2 linked regions of the Arabidopsis thaliana genome follow. The protein of the gene in region 2 interacts with the protein of the main gene of each other region in a pairwise test. Each region holds a gene or a part of one and is shown on either strand. Other genes may lie near its edges.

What was found. The genes of interacting proteins can lie anywhere in the genome.
Region 1: the proteins of AT1G61150 (region 2) and AT4G09340 interact in a two-hybrid assay, tested with the Arabidopsis thaliana proteins (one large-scale study listed by BioGRID).

Annotation. Positions count from the first base shown.
Region 1 is NC_003075.7:5,922,472-5,930,107, forward strand, and holds AT4G09340 (SPla/RYanodine receptor (SPRY) domain-containing protein), read right to left. Parts: upstream 5,268-7,636; 5' UTR 5,127-5,267; coding exon 4,798-5,126; intron 4,574-4,797; coding exon 4,427-4,573; intron 4,352-4,426; coding exon 4,265-4,351; intron 4,172-4,264; coding exon 4,126-4,171; intron 3,768-4,125; coding exon 3,691-3,767; intron 3,574-3,690; coding exon 3,417-3,573; intron 3,329-3,416; coding exon 3,260-3,328; intron 3,176-3,259; coding exon 3,116-3,175; intron 3,023-3,115; coding exon 2,936-3,022; intron 2,829-2,935; coding exon 2,544-2,828; 3' UTR 2,131-2,543; downstream 1-2,130. Other genes in the region: NDPK1 (nucleoside diphosphate kinase), read left to right, coding at 1,013-1,063, 1,184-1,232, 1,546-1,895.
Region 2 is NC_003070.9:22,539,488-22,547,794, forward strand, and holds AT1G61150 (LisH and RanBPM domains containing protein), read left to right. Parts: upstream 1-3,009; 5' UTR 3,010-3,186; exon of another isoform or gene 3,187-3,375; 5' UTR 3,376-3,440; coding exon 3,441-3,494; intron 3,495-3,619; coding exon 3,620-3,779; exon of another isoform or gene 3,780-3,816; coding exon of another isoform or gene 3,817-3,880; coding exon 3,881-3,987; intron 3,988-4,086; coding exon 4,087-4,218; intron 4,219-4,349; coding exon 4,350-4,506; intron 4,507-4,746; coding exon 4,747-4,868; 3' UTR 4,869-5,531; coding exon of another isoform or gene 5,532-6,066; 3' UTR 6,067-6,174; downstream 6,175-8,307. Other genes in the region: EDA16 (SNF2 domain-containing protein / helicase domain-containing protein / zinc finger protein-like protein), read right to left, coding at 1-178, 290-553, 661-730, 977-1,123; AT1G61160 (retrotransposon gag), read right to left, coding at 5,532-6,066, 6,705-6,733.

The sequences.
Region 1 (7,636 bases), on a different chromosome or scaffold from region 2:
TTCATCTTCTTAGGAAATTAGGTTTATTAGCAATCCGAAATCTCTATTCACGTGAACTAGTTTGTTTATCACCACTGATTTCATTATCTTTGGCCATCATCAACAATTTGTAGAGCAAGCAAGGGCTCATTCTCATCGCAATTAATCTATTCTTCATCGAGGAAAGCTCTGAGACGAGGCGTGGGTGGAAGAATTGAGCGTGTTCAGACTTGGGTTTGATCCGATCGTAACCGCTCGCGCTGTTTGTCAAGTTTTATGTTTACAATTCTGAAATAATGTTATTGTTGTATTCGATTCATGTTTAAACTATATATATTAATCGGTTTGTAAAGTTAACAAAATCACTCTGCTCAATTGGTTAAGTAATCTTTGAATAGTTCAATATGCCATGCGTTCAAATCTATTTTCCAACATTATTTTGCGTTTTTGTTTAAAGGCTCAAAACAACGTAGTTTTAATAACCTATATATAAACATACGGTTTGCAAAATCTATACACGTCTAAGAGATATACTATAGGTGACTTTTGAGATCGCAGACCTGCATTTATTTAACTTACATGATTGAGTTACAAAAAAAATTACTTAGAGAATTTTTTGGCACAAAATCCAATTTTTATAACTAATTGAACCTTAAAATAATAATAAGTAAAAGCCGTTTTTTTTGTTAAAAGAAGGCTCAAAACGACGTAATTTTAATAATCATGTACAGATTTATATGATTTGCAAAATCTATACACGTGCAAGAGTTATATTGCGAACGACTTTTAATATCACAGTATTAATCTACGTTTGTTTGACATAAATAATTAAGTTGCAAAAAAATATTATTTGTGTTTTTTTTATGAAGCCCAATATTTTATTTAATTGGGCCTAACATAATAATAAGGGAAGCCCAATAATTTGTAGCAAATATTCTAGGGTTAGAATATTCTTCAACAGAATTAGGGTTACATGTGCGGACTCTATATAAATCTTTTTTGCCTCCTACGAATCACAAGTAATAAGAAAACAATGGAGCAAACTTTTATTATGATCAAGCCTGACGGCGTCCAGAGAGGACTCGTAAGCTTCCCTTTTCTCTTAATACATACTTGTTGATCTTGATCTGATTTTGGTTTTGTATTCAGTTCTTTGGATTGTTTATACTTAAAAGATCGATATGTTTGTGTTTTTTTCTTTCAGATCGGTGAAGTCATCTGCAGGTTTGAGAAGAAGGGTTTCACTTTGAAAGGTAATGATTTCGATTACCAAACTTGATTTTACATTATAATTAGAGGTCTTAGATCTAATTAAAGTCACTTTGTTACTTGAATTGAGATTGTAATGACACTATAGTTGCTTATGGTTTGGTCTAGTTTCTGAACACTAATAGTTTAGTAAAACTTGTTTGACTTGACAAGTATTCTGTGTTGTCTAATAGATTTTAGATTATAGTATCTGTGCATAAGAACTTGTTATTATCTGGACCTTTTGTATTATGTAATTTGGTAGATAAGAGTGTTAGTCTTGTGTTTCTGATCAGTGTAGATTTGTATTTTATACAGGTCTGAAGTTGATCAGTGTAGAGAGATCTTTTGCTGAGAAGCACTACGAAGACTTATCTTCAAAGTCTTTCTTCAGTGGACTCGTTGACTACATTGTATCCGGCCCTGTTGTTGCTATGATCTGGGAAGGAAAGAATGTTGTCTTGACCGGAAGAAAGATCATTGGAGCTACCAACCCAGCAGCTTCTGAGCCTGGAACTATCCGTGGGGACTTTGCTATTGACATTGGCAGGAACGTGATCCATGGTAGTGACTCTGTCGAGAGTGCAAGAAAGGAGATTGCTTTGTGGTTCCCTGATGGACCTGTCAACTGGCAGAGCAGCGTTCACCCTTGGGTCTATGAAACTTGATGATCTGTTGCTTTTTCAGTAGTGTGTTTTCGACATTGCTTGTCTTTTGAACAAGACTTCTATATTTAAGTTGAGTTTGATTATCCTTCTCTACTTTGCTTGCTTGCTACATATGAATACAACAGCTACCAACTGGTGATATAAAATATATCAGTTATTGCAGATACTGAACCAAAATTGACTCTTACCAATGGTTAGATCAAACCTATTTAGTAAACACAAGATCATACTTCTTGTAACCTTGTGTTTCATGAACACATAATGTTGTCAATCTCTTAGATGCTCTCGAAAACTGCGACGTTCGACAAAGTGGCAAGCTTAAGTTGTCTAGTAAGCCATTGTCCAAGTTTGAGGCTGACACCAACTTGAAGGGGGCATACTAGGAGAGAGTGATAAGAAAAGTTTTGAGTATTTGTCTACTGAATTTCAAGCTTACTGATGAACATTGGCAAGCTAAATTTAAATAACTAAATTTTACAATTTTGGTTCTTCAAACTTTAGAGAAGAAAAGAATCCAACGGTCAGGTTCAACTCCAACCCGTCTGTTTCAATCATCTATTTTGACCGCTTATTGTAGCTGCCTGTAACAGTTCAAACCCAGCCACTGTCAACAATCAAAGCCAAGTTTGTTTCCAAAGATGGACACAGCTAAGTAGTCTTTTTTGTCCTCTTCCAATTGTTGGTTCTAAGAAGTCGGTTAAGCGAGAACGCTTCTCCTTGACCATCGTTAAGCGACCGCAGTTCCAGACAGCAAGCTGTTAGTTGTCGGAGAAGTGTCTCTAGATGAGAATGCGATTGATTTTTGCCCTTTGGTTTTGTAGATAAAATCGCAGCATTCACTGTGTCTGCCACTACTTCCCTTTGAGTCTCTTCTAGGAAATACCCTACATTCGATTCTTCGGGGCGTTCGTACACTAGCAAAGCAAAGCAGTCCTGAAATAGATAACAAGATGCTCGAATCTCTTGTCTTTGAAACCACTAAATATTGAAAAAAATTCCAAAACACCACCACTAGTTTAAGGTTGCAGAACCATCATTACCTCTAAAATGTCTTGGAATGTAGTTAAACCAATGAATTTGGCTAATTCCATTCGTCCATATTTCACAGCCTCTTCTAGTGCTCCAATCTAAGTATGTCACATTTTAGTATTTATTTACTTAGAGAGAGGTCAGTCTAACCGCAGTGGATCTGATTAATATATAAGGAATGAAGAGCATACCCGTACTAATTCAATGAACTTTTGACAGTGAAGGAGGAAGCATACTTCTGATTTATCGTTCTGCAGATTATACAATTGAGGTAAGAGTTCATATTTTCAATGTAACAATATGAATCAACTGATATGATTAGTTCCTCAATCCACCTGTACAAGTTGGGGATAGCTATCTCGGAGTTTCGCAAGAGCAGCATCGATCTCACCCTTCCGTATAAGCTTTACCAACCGACGTATGGATCAGTTCAATACTTAACGAAAGAGATGTAGTAGTAGTAACGAGCAAGATAGCAGTCTAATTCAATACCTGTCTAAGAATTTTTCTCTCATGCAATGCATATGATGTATCATCAATACCATTTTCTTGAGCTCCATTGATAGGAGGAAGTGTACTGTTAGTAGCCAAGTCTAAAGCATGATGAGTCTCTTCATACCCATAATGAAGCAAATAGTTCTTTACAAGCCTGATGATCAAAAAAAACCAGAAGCTTCTTAGCTACGCAGAAATTTTATTACCAATGCAATAAAAGAATAGAAGAAAAAACTTCACCTCAGTAACTACAGAACAAGAGTGTACTCACCCAAGACTCATGTTCGATGGTATGGATATCTTTTCGATTGCTATTTGTTGCTTATTCCTCTCCGATGATTCATATCCCTAACACAACAGAAAAAAAGAGGAACAGCTAAATCATACGTAATCACTCCTGTAACCTTAACCTCAAACAAACCTAAGGCAGAAAGAGAAGCACAAGTAAACACATATTACTCTCTACCTCAACTTTCTACACATATTACACATACAATTCTTAATCGTAGAGTCTAAGAGAAGATGTTTAATCACTGTATTTTTTTACAGTGAATCATCTGCCACATTATATGTTTGTACCATATCAAAAAGATGCATATGTTTCTTTACTATACGATAGTTATACTTCGGACTATCCCATCGATAAATTACACAAGCTAAGAGCTAGAAACTCCACTAGTATACCAAAAATATTCAAGGATCTTACCTTAAAATCAAAGGCAAACTTCTCCTGCCCGAAGTTGACTGTAACCCTACCAAGATTCAGAACATCAAACAAAGAACATATTCAAGCACTTGAAAAATAGTTCACGCTGACATCATATTAAGAAACAAAGAGAGCATACTCTTCGTTTTGGCTATGTACAGCTACAGTAGGGAATAGAGGACCCTTGATGTACTTGGAGACTGTCCCTACCAGAGTTCCATTTACACTGGCATCTCATAACAAAGATATGTCAGAACTGTAACATGAAAATGAATTGACTCTTGAACTCTTAGATACTCACGTGAAAAAGAATTCCTGCGAATCATAGTTTATACCACCACCAACAGTATCACCAGTTGTATAAGTCGGACCAAAAGCTTCACCTTGACGTTTTCCTAGATATATAAGCCCATCTTCACCATGATAACCACAAGTGTTGAGTTCCCATCTAACCATTACATAAGAAATATCACAAAACTATCAATTTGAATGCTCAGCAACAATGATATAGAAACAAAATCCAACACTTTCGTATGTTCTGATCCTAACCAAACATAAATAAAACTCACACAATTGAACCAAATCCTGAACCTAATCAAACTTAAAACAACTAAACAAAAATAAGAGATCTTTAAGAACCTAATCAAATCTAAACAAAACTCAATATCATACCCAGGATGTCTCGCGATTCTGAAACTATTAGTAGTGAAACCAATGGAGACACGTCCTTTAACACCAGCATCTTTAACATAAATCTCGAAGTAATAAGCGAAACGTTTACACGGAGCAGGTTTATTAGCTTGAACAACGCCGACATCGTGACCGTGTTGAGAAACGCCAGTGTATTTGAGAGATAGCTTATCGGGAGAGATAACTACAAAACCGCTTAAACCGGTGATCGTGTTTAACTCCGTCGGTGATTCTTCTTCTTCTTCGTTATCTTCCATTGTATGTGGTTTTGCAGAGTGATGAAATTTGTGAATGAAGTTGGATTTGTTCATTCAAATCGCAGAGAAGATAATTGAAACCCTAGAATTTTGCTGATTGGTGATTGATTATAGAGAAACAAAATTGTTGAGCGAATATTTTTTATTTTTTTCAAATGATCTCTTACAAAACCATGTGATTTCGGTTCGGTTTTTATTTGAATTATTCGGTTTTTAAAAATTTGGTTTCTTAGTACTGGTATCCAAATTATGGATGGTTTAGTATGGTTTTATTTTGGTTCGGTATTGAATGTTTATCTACAATATCCTTAATTTTTAAAGAAATTTCGGTTTTAAACCATTTTTCTTTGTTTGATTTGATTTTGGATCGACTTTTCAAATCAAGTATCTCGATTCATTTACGGTCGGTTTATTGGCAACAACTTAACATTAAAAAAAGCTAAGAGTTCAAATGGTTACGCGGTTAGGACGGACAAATCTATCAACGGTTTAGACTGCTTTTTGTTTAGGAAAATTGCACAATCTATACTTGGAAGAGTTGTTATTTAAGTGTCCAAAAAAATCACTGTTTGACTAATATTGTACATGTGGAAATTGCGTATGTACCCCTAGGAAAATCTTTTTATACTGTATGAATATATTGTGTCAGATTATTATTATTCTTTGCATGTAGTCTTTTTTCTTTTTTGCTATTTATTTATTGATTTTTAGGGAAACCAGTCGTCATCGTCATTTCTCTTTCTAAATGGAAAGTTGTATCCCTTCTTTCCCTTATTAAAACACAGTCCAAAAGATAAAAGTTAATGTAACATTTGTATTAGGTGCTAACTCTAATTCATAACAAAAGTGAAACTATCTCAAATCACCATAAACTTATGATATTAGCCGGTAATCCAAGTATTAACATACCAGTTTGTATTAGGTGGTAACTTTGATGCAAAACTTATGAATTCAAATTTTTAATACCTCTAAGGGTATTATCACTATATGTAAACAGGTATTAGCCGTTAACAAAATGTTAACGTAACAGTTGTATTAGGTGCTAACTCTAATTCATAACAAAAGTGAAACTATCTGTAATCACAAGGAACTTATGATATTAGCCGATAACCCAAGTATTAACATATCAGTTTGTATAAGGTAGTAACTCTGATGCAAAACTTATGAGGGTATTATCACTATATGTAAACAAATATTAGCCGTTAACAAAAAGTTAACGTAACATTTATATTAGGTGCTAACTCTAATTCATAACAAAAGTGAAACCATCTGTTCAAACCCTCCTAGTCCAAAAACAGTCTCATCCTTCCATCTTGAACCGTCAAAAAAACTTTTCCTCGTCGCTTACTTACCGCCCTGCAACACATTAATTTTTTGATTAGCAGTCATTTTCCTTTTTTATCAGATAACATTTACTTTATCGACTCTACTTTCTTCATACACCATCAACAAATGTAATATGTAAACATTTTTTTACCCTGCTAATTCGTATATTATCATGATATTTTCAAAATTATCGATAATCCAAAGTTATCAGCGACATCTTCTTTCCTGTTTTCAAAACCATGGTAAAAGTTTTGTTATCGACTGTTTTTTTCAAAAAAATGATAAGGAGCTATATATATATATATATATATATATATAGGTACACACCTAAGACTTAAATGCTTTGTGTCTCTTTCTTATAGGTACAATATATCTCGCGGAAGAAGGCTACTGATTCTTTGTTTGTATAGGGGCAATTATGTCATATTTAATTTACAAGAAAATTTCCACCTAAATAACTAAATGATATGTGTAGATCCTTAATTATATATTCTTCCATGTATAGATATTTCATTCACCCTTTTGTTTATCATTCATAAACTATAATCCGCAGTAGTGCGAATTAAAAAAAAAAAAAGTTTGCGGTGTACTAACTACAGATAACTTTTACGTAGAATTTTTTTTATCCGCATGCGATTTATCGTCCGCTCTAAAAATAAAGTGGTTTTGTCTGTTAGCGATTTAGTGTGCTTTTTTCATTGCATCCATTGAAACCAAAATAGAATACAATAGACTAAGGCCTTGAATGTTTTGTAGATTTTGTAAGAGTTTTTAGATTTTGTTTTTCAAAAACTTATTTTTATACCAATCAAGATTATAAAATTTTGGTTTCCCTACAATTTAGAAAAACTATTTTGTTGTAGTTTTTGATTCATGATTTTAATTTTATAGTTTTCCTAAAACTTAGGGAATCTAGTTTTTACTCCATCAACGTTATTTTTCTCAAAAACTAAAAACCAATTTTTTGGGGTTTTTAAAACAAAAATATAATAACAAAAATCTAAAACTAAAATCTAAAATCTAGAAACTAAAATCTAAATCCAAAAACTGAATCGAAAATCAGCATCCATTCAGGGTCTAAACCAAAAATAAATCATCGAATCATAAATAATTTTTAGTTTTGATGGATTTTTGAGAAAAAAAATATTTAAAAATATTATTAATCTTGAATTTTACAAAAGAAACTTGAAGTCTAAAAATATTATTAATCTTGTAAGGACTGTCAAATGCTTTTAAAG
Region 2 (8,307 bases):
TCTGACAAGGATGTACCACTTGTATTGTAGCAATCTTGTGCAGAAGAGACATAGTTATCCGCACTGTCACTGAGGGAATTGGAATTATTAAAAAAAACAGACATGGCAGACGAATTATGATTGGCTCCCAACCCCACTCCGTATCCAGTCACGTTGTCAAAATATGGAGTCAACATAGCTGCAATTTGATGTAACAAAAAATGAGGAATATGGAAATTAGCAACAGATAGATTAGTGTCAAACTTTTAAAAAAAAAAATAACCTGACATTTAGTAGATAAGGTGCATACATTTGGAATCGATTATCTTATCATCCTGCTTGGAAACAGTGTCAACGTCACAATTCACAGGATTGAAGGCCATCATATTGCCATCAGGATCAGAGAAACTAGACGATATACTACAACTAGTCATCTCAGATTGAGATACTCCACATGTTTCCACAGGCTGCTCACCCTGACTTAACGAAAACCAATCTTTAAGACTTGCAGAGCAAGTATGAGCAGGTGAAGGACTCAGCCCGGCTTCCATTTTCACATGTTCATCAAATGAACCTGGCACAACAAAAAAAATCCAAGCGATGTTAATACGATGTACCTCAAACAGCTCAATAAATACTAAATGACTATGTAACAAGGCACCCTTTCCAACAACTACTAACCATTTAGCAACTGTGAATCCTTGAGCTCGTCAGCAGATGAACCAACTGGTGATAAGTTTTCTTGGCTACCCTAAAAGTAGTCACTCTCAATGTTAGTTTCTTCTCTATCGAAAAAAATAGTCAATTAGAGATTAGTGTAGCTACAGAATTGTGAAATCACACATACATAAACTTTATAACAAAATACAAATCCAAACATCTTTGTAGCAGCATTCAAATAATGCAATGAAATTCAGCTAAATCAAAACGATGAAATTGAAGTTAGAGAAGCGTGTAATCAAAATTCTCAAGCTACCACAAAAGCCGAGAAAACTACCTCAGCAGAATCAGGCTTCTCATCTAGAATCCGATAAAGCGTTTCGATGTCAATAGTCTCGTCATCATCTTCAAACTCAAAACCACCATCACAATCATCAACCGGAAATTCACCTCCCAGACCAAACATTGAACCTTCCTCACCCATCAAAAATCACAAAAAAAAAAAAAAAAAACTAACCCGAGAAAGAACGAGAAGAGGAACAAACCCTAAATCAGAAAACCCAAAAGTCACGGAATTTCAGCTCCCGGGAAACCCAAATCGAAATTCAGAAGTAGACGCGTAGATCCAGAGATTGTAGAATTTTCAGGTACGACGAAGAAGAAGGCTTGAGAATTGGGTTTTGAAGGAATTTTCGAGGAAAGGTAGAGAGCAGTTGGGATAGAGAAAATAAAAATCGCGACTTTTTGTAGCGACGGTGGCTTCTTTTTATTGCCTTGTTCTCTCTTTTGGCTTTCTCCGAATTGGAAAAAGTAAACACCACAAGGCTATGGGACTTCCGGCTTTAAATAAGGAACGGTCGAACATTTGTTTTTCTTTTTCTTTCATTTTTTTCCATTTTTTCATTATTTAATAATGCATGATTATATATAATTATATTTTATGCGCCGTCATCTTTATTGTTAAAGCAAAATCACAATTTAAACAAAAGGAAACAACTTTAATTAGTAGTAGGAAACTGAAGTGTTTAAGTAATGGAGATTTTTTTGAAGTGTTTGCTAATCATAATTTATTGTAAAAATTATTTTTAATTGTGTGAAAATTAGATTTTCTACACTAACAAAAAAATTTCATATGTTAAAGAAAACAAATATGAAACTAAATCACAAAGATCAATTGGAATTAGACATGTGGATCGACTCATTAGAAAAATAATCATCTCAATCAATAAGAAGAGATAAAACATATATTTGACTAAATGATCTTACCAATCTTGTGGTCATAAAATTCTACAAAGCACTATATTGCTAATTTCTACAAAGCACATTTGTAATCTTCTGAATCATTTGTTAGCCCTAAAAGAAGACTAGTATTATACGAGATCACCATTTTTATGATTGATCAAATATCTTGTAGAGCGCAAAACTTTGTAGGTAGTTTGATGAGAAAGAGCTTGCTTATTATGTGATCAACAATTCCGTTCTTGCCATGTCTCAAAGTAGTTGCTTGCCATATTAATTGATATGAAGAGCCTTTGATTTTGCAGAGATAGGAATTGCCAAAAGAAACCATATGAGGATTGACTCGAGAAGTTTTAGTGTAACTTCTTCACTAAGTCCTTCCAAACCAGTTGGGAAAAATAATATTAAAGAATAAGTGGTCCATTGATTCTTAGTCGGTCAACTAGCTAGAAGACCTCAAATTCTGCAATCGATCCTTTGTCTTATTGTGGTTCCACACAAACAACCATGTGCAAAGAACAAAACATGTTTTGGGACTTTAGTTTGAAGATGCAATTAAACATATTGTTAGATTGTTGACCAAGAAAAAACATATTGTTGAGATTGAAAGATATATTTTGCATCGGACTGCAAAATGTTTATGTCACATATTTGTTACCTAATAGTTGATTTTAATAGAGTATAATAGAGTATCAGTTATTGGTTTTAAATTGTGTATCAAATTCCAAATAATATAGAGATTTTTAACATCAGTCTTATTTAATTATGATTTTAACCAAGTGTCGTTAGCTCAATTGGTAAAGACCTTATGCAAAGCTTAGAGGTCGCCGGTTCGAGTGACGCTTGGGACGAAACTAATATTTTATGCTGTGGTTTCAGGCCTGGGGGATTACGGACTTTGACCCACAACCTCCAAGATTTAAAAAAAAAAATAAAAAAAAATTATGATTTTAAATCGAAATTTTGTTCTTCAAAGGTAAAATAGTTTAAAAATCTTTGGGTATTAAAATCATTTGGAAATGAGTTACATAATACTATCCGGTATATAAAGAACCAAATCCAAAAACAAACCGGTTCCCTTAATAATTTAAACCGGATTATTCATCGACGGTTCGTCAACATCCTAATAATTTAAACCCGATCTCTTCTTCTCTATCGAAAACCTCCAACTTTTTTTTGTTTTATCAGATTGTAAATTTAGGGAAGAGACTTTCGCAAGCAATCTAGAAGCAAATCGATCGCCAAATCTCCGGATTATTTGCAAGAATCGTTCCCAGATAATCTTCCCCAGATTCTCCACTTCTCCAGGTACATCGTTATATTCAATTTTTGAGGAAAATAGTCGCACACTCTCTCTTTCTTAGAACTACCACTCCTGTGCTGTTTTGAGATTAAAGCTTGAATTTTGACTAAAGCCCTAAATTACTTTGTATCACTATCTGATCACAAAGTCAATTTCTTTTGGAAATAGCTCTGATCGGAGTGTTGCTCGAACAGGTATTAATTTCGTATTGAGTGGATTAGATTAGATTTCAAGATATGAGAGCCTCACTGGCGTTCTAATGTCACTGTTTCGTATTTTTATCAATCAGCTTGAAGAAGACGACGAAGATATGGTAATTTTGACTCCTCTTATGAGTCTGTTCTTTGTGTTATTTGATACAACTTGATGATGGGTTTTTGGAAAACTTTAATCTTTATGCACGTTGTGTGACCTAGTTTTAATCGTGGCTTGTCGCAGGCTACTTCGAAGAAAATGATCACACGTGAAGAATGGGAGAAGAAACTAAATGCTGTGAAGCTTAGGAAAGAAGATATGAATACTTTGGTGATGAATTTTCTTGTGACTGAAGGATATGTTGAAGCTGCTGAGAAATTCCAAAGGGAGTCTGGAACCAAACGTATCCTTTTTCTGATTCTGGTTTTGAGTTTTTGTTTATGGAATTGGTGTGTTTGATGTTTAGCTTATCTACTCCTTTTGAACTTCCTTATCGAGAAACAGCAGAGATAGATCTTGCGACCATTACTGATCGAATGGCTGTTAAAAAGGCTGTTCAAAACGGAAATGTCGAGGATGCGATTGAAAAAGTTAATGATTTGAATCCTGAGGTACAATGCTTCTTCATATCTTGTGTGGAGAGTAGTCATTCACTTTTCTGATGTAATAAAGAAGCAAAATCTGATTCTTCTTTGAACCCATGCTTGCAGATACTAGACACGAATCCGGAGCTCTTTTTTCATCTTCAGCAGCAAAGGTTGATAGAATTAATTCGACAAGGGAAGACAGAAGAGGCCTTAGAGTTTGCTCAGGAGGAACTTGCACCACGTGGCGAAGAAAACGTAAGTCTTTGTATTTCACTTTGATTTCTGTCGTTAAAGATGGTGTTTTCCATGTGTATTGCTCATTGACTGTGTGTAATATCTGTTGTTGCTGAAACTTCATTCATACAGTCTGTTATATCTCTCTGCAGCAAGCGTTTCTGGAAGAATTGGAAAAAACTGTAGCCCTACTTGTTTTTGACGATGCCTCTACCTGCCCGGTTAAAGAGCTTCTTGATCTTTCCCACCGTCTTAAGACAGCAAGTGAAGTAAATGCAGCGATTCTTACAAGCCAGAGCCACGAAAAAGGTAGCTTTTGAATTTTGATGTTATACTGGTTGTCTTTTAGTAGCCACAAAATACCATTATAATCTCGAGCATCATTCATTATCAATCTTAAGATTCAAAGTATATGCAACTCTTCTCTACATAACAAGTAAAATTTTTCATTCATTACTTCACCCACAACATGTATCATCCAAGTTCTTCTTGAAACTTTCCATTTTCCTCCATGGTTAATGTAGCAACTCAATGTTTGTGAACAAACAGATCCTAAACTTCCAAGCTTGTTGAAGATGTTGATTTGGGCTCAAACTCAACTGGACGAGAAAGCAGTGTATCCGCACATTAATGATTTGTCTACCGGTAAGCTCGAAGACCCGTCAGAATGATTCCGTACTTCTTTCAGCCATTGGAAATCAGTAGCAAAAAGGAACAATGAATGGTGCTCTCTTCTCTTCCCGTCAATCTCAATAACTTACAATTCATATGCTTTCTGCTTTTCCTTTTCTTCTGCATCGGGATTTGTTGGACCCGCAATCGTTAGGATATGGGGAGGGGAACATAAGCTTTTGTAGGCAATGAATTACTCTAGTCAAATGTTCTTATTATCAACATATTTGATGACTCATTGCATACGTGCATTTGATTTGAATGAAGTTATCGACTTTGTTTGGATCTTTGTGTTTGTTTTGAGGAATATTTTTGTTCCAAAAGGTTCGAATTGTAAACAAGAGAGATGGCTTATTCATCCCATGTATAGTTACATGAATCAATGAATCAACTTGGCACGGTTCCTACTTACCTAGAAAGCAACATGACCTATTGAATTGAGTGCTGTTACCGTCGAAATGGAGAATCTCTGCGAACCGTACTGAAACATCATTTGATTTTTCTTCTTCTTCGCAAAATATTATTTTGGTACTGACACAGCTTTGAATCTTGCATGACATGGTACGAAGTAAATAAAGGGAAGTAGTAATAGCAACTTTTTGATATATAAAATAGGAAACATAATCCACAAGACTCAAGACCTTATGTTGACTCTAGCCATCTCAATCTTGCATGATATGGTCTTCCGGATCATAGGATTTGGAGGGTTTGCTCTCCACCTCATCTTCGGATGCGGGTCGGCCCAAATTGCTTTGTCCGCAGTCAACATCTGCAAACTCCTCAGACACGAGCGGCACCTTTTCCTTGATGCTTCTAAGTTTGGCCTCTACCTTCTCAGCTTCATCAACTACATCTGACACATAATTAAGGATCCATCCGCAGTTCGCTGCACATACCCCTTCCTGCAACTCCTCGCGTAGCCCTTCCTGGAACAGACACGCCAGCTGCTCTTCCTCCAACTCTCTTCCGAGGTTCTTGACCTTCTTAAGGAACTCGTTATAATACTCACGCACTGTCTCTGTTCCTTGCTTCACCTCAAAGGCTTCCCAGCTCAAGGCAATGTTGACGTCAACCAGCTTAGACTCATCGAAGGCTCCGCGCTCAGAAGCTTCTCGGGGTGGCTGATCCTCCTCCCCAACTACCCCTGTGAGCTCAAAGTTTTTTGGTTCACCAGATGTCTTGATCGACCTGGTCTGCCTGCGGGTCAATAATTCATCGAGTTTTATACATTTAATAATTTGTTACAAAATATGAAAACAAGGATAGTTTTCAGTTAGAAAAACAATTTATTATCTTAGAAAATCATGACTATGCTAAATCTAATATATTTAAATAAAAAACTTTACATCAAAATTCTAACAAATTATCAAATATTATGGATTTGAGGGAGTATAAATTATCATTATAATTCAACAAAATTAAAACTGAATTTTGCGAAAACATAATTTATATGAAACTCGAGTATAAAAATGATGACTCGAAATGGATCAAATAGAATAAAGCAATCGTAATGTCGAATAGTGGAAAAGAGATTTATATCTTATTTTATTTTGTCTGAAAAAGATCTATCTTCACCTATTTTTATTGAACTTTAAATATTTTAAGCAAAAATAAAATTGATTCAATTTGATATAAAATGAGCAAAGACCTTTTGATCATGATCCTTTACAAGATTTTCATTTCATGCTTTATCATTACAGAAAAAAAAAATCTAACAAACTAATCTGAAAGCTAAAAGATTGAAAATAATATAGTTTCTTAATATATTTTATCAAAATCATTAATAGATATTGTGAAATAGATAATAGAAAATTGAGAATATCTAAGGAACTTACAAATTGATATTACTTCTTCCATTAGTCATTGTGGAGAATGAAGAAATAAAAAAAATGGGAAATGAAGCTCTTAAAGTGAGTCTAACCAAATGATGTACTTTTATTAACTCCCAAAATGGGATATCATTGATTTATGTTCTATAAATAAAAAATTAACCTGATTCATTTTTCTTATATAATAATTGATTAAGACATACGCTGGCAAAATTTTTTTTTTTTATGTCCGCTCGCAAATCAAAAAAATATGGAAATACAATAAATTTTAATTATAATAAATTAGCTTTTATTTTCTTTTCATAATTTCTAATAAATATCTCATATACCCAATTTACAGTATCGTATTTTGTATTAAATAAGTTTGAGTTAAAATTGAATCATTATGAAAATCTAATTAGAATATATATATATATATATATATATATATATATATATGTGTGTGTGTGTGTATGTATAGTACTGGTACATAATATTAATGTTTTGTAACAATTTCGGTTTCTAGTTTCTAAAATATGGTAAATTATCAAAATCGATTAATTATGATATTTTCACAATTATATTTTTCTAATATTGTAAATTTGTTCCCAAATTTTTTTTTTTTTAAAGTCCCAAAGATAGAAAGTTATTATTATAATTCCAAATTTAAAATAAATTTTAAATTTAATATGGAGATTGACTCTTGTAGTCTTTTGACTTGTTCATTAATATGTTCCCGAAATAGTTTTATATGGTATACAAAATTAAATAATTGTATAAAAGGTAAATCTAAATTTAAGTTACGTCAGATTTGATCTTTTATGTGATAGAGATGTGTTCCAAATAGTTCTTTTAATTGATTTGAACACTTTCTTTGGTACCAAAACAAGAAACATCATAGGGTTTGCGTACTCATTGGTATTAATGAAACTGACCCACACACATGTTTTTGGATCATCACTAATTTAACTGTCTCATAAGCTTTGTCACACACACACACACAGAGACTTATATAGTGATGCATTCATTGATATCATTCGGCATCATACCTGTTCTTTCATTCCATAAAGATAAAAAAAGGTAAAAGAGAAATGTGATTTTGTATTTGAGATTGATTTGTATGTAAGTATTTATGAGTGAGAGAAAATAGTGGATTCTATGCGTGTGGAGATAGTAGAAGAGGTCTCTACTCTACTATGTGTGCTTGCATTTCCTAGGAACACAAAATGGCCCACTGGCTCTGTCCCTTTGTTTCATAGAGACTAGAGAGTGTCCTCTTCTTTTTCACGTTATTGAGAATGATATAGTTTCATAGAGACTGAAGATTCCCTTTTGTTTCTCAACTCTTCGAGTTTTGATACTAAGCAAGCTTAACTGAATAAGGTGATTTGGATTTGATAATATCGGCTACGGTCACAAACTCCGAATAAATCTTGATCGACTTGCTTGAGAGAGGATTGATTCTTGGAATGGCAAATCTCACACAAATATATGAACTTGAAAATGGGTTTTGTTTGGCCAAAAAAAAAGGAAAAAAAGAAAATGGGTTTTGTTGGATGTGAGATAATTATCCCATTGTCTTGAATCTTGATTATCAATTGGAAATGGAAATGATTTTGTTTTTGGTTAG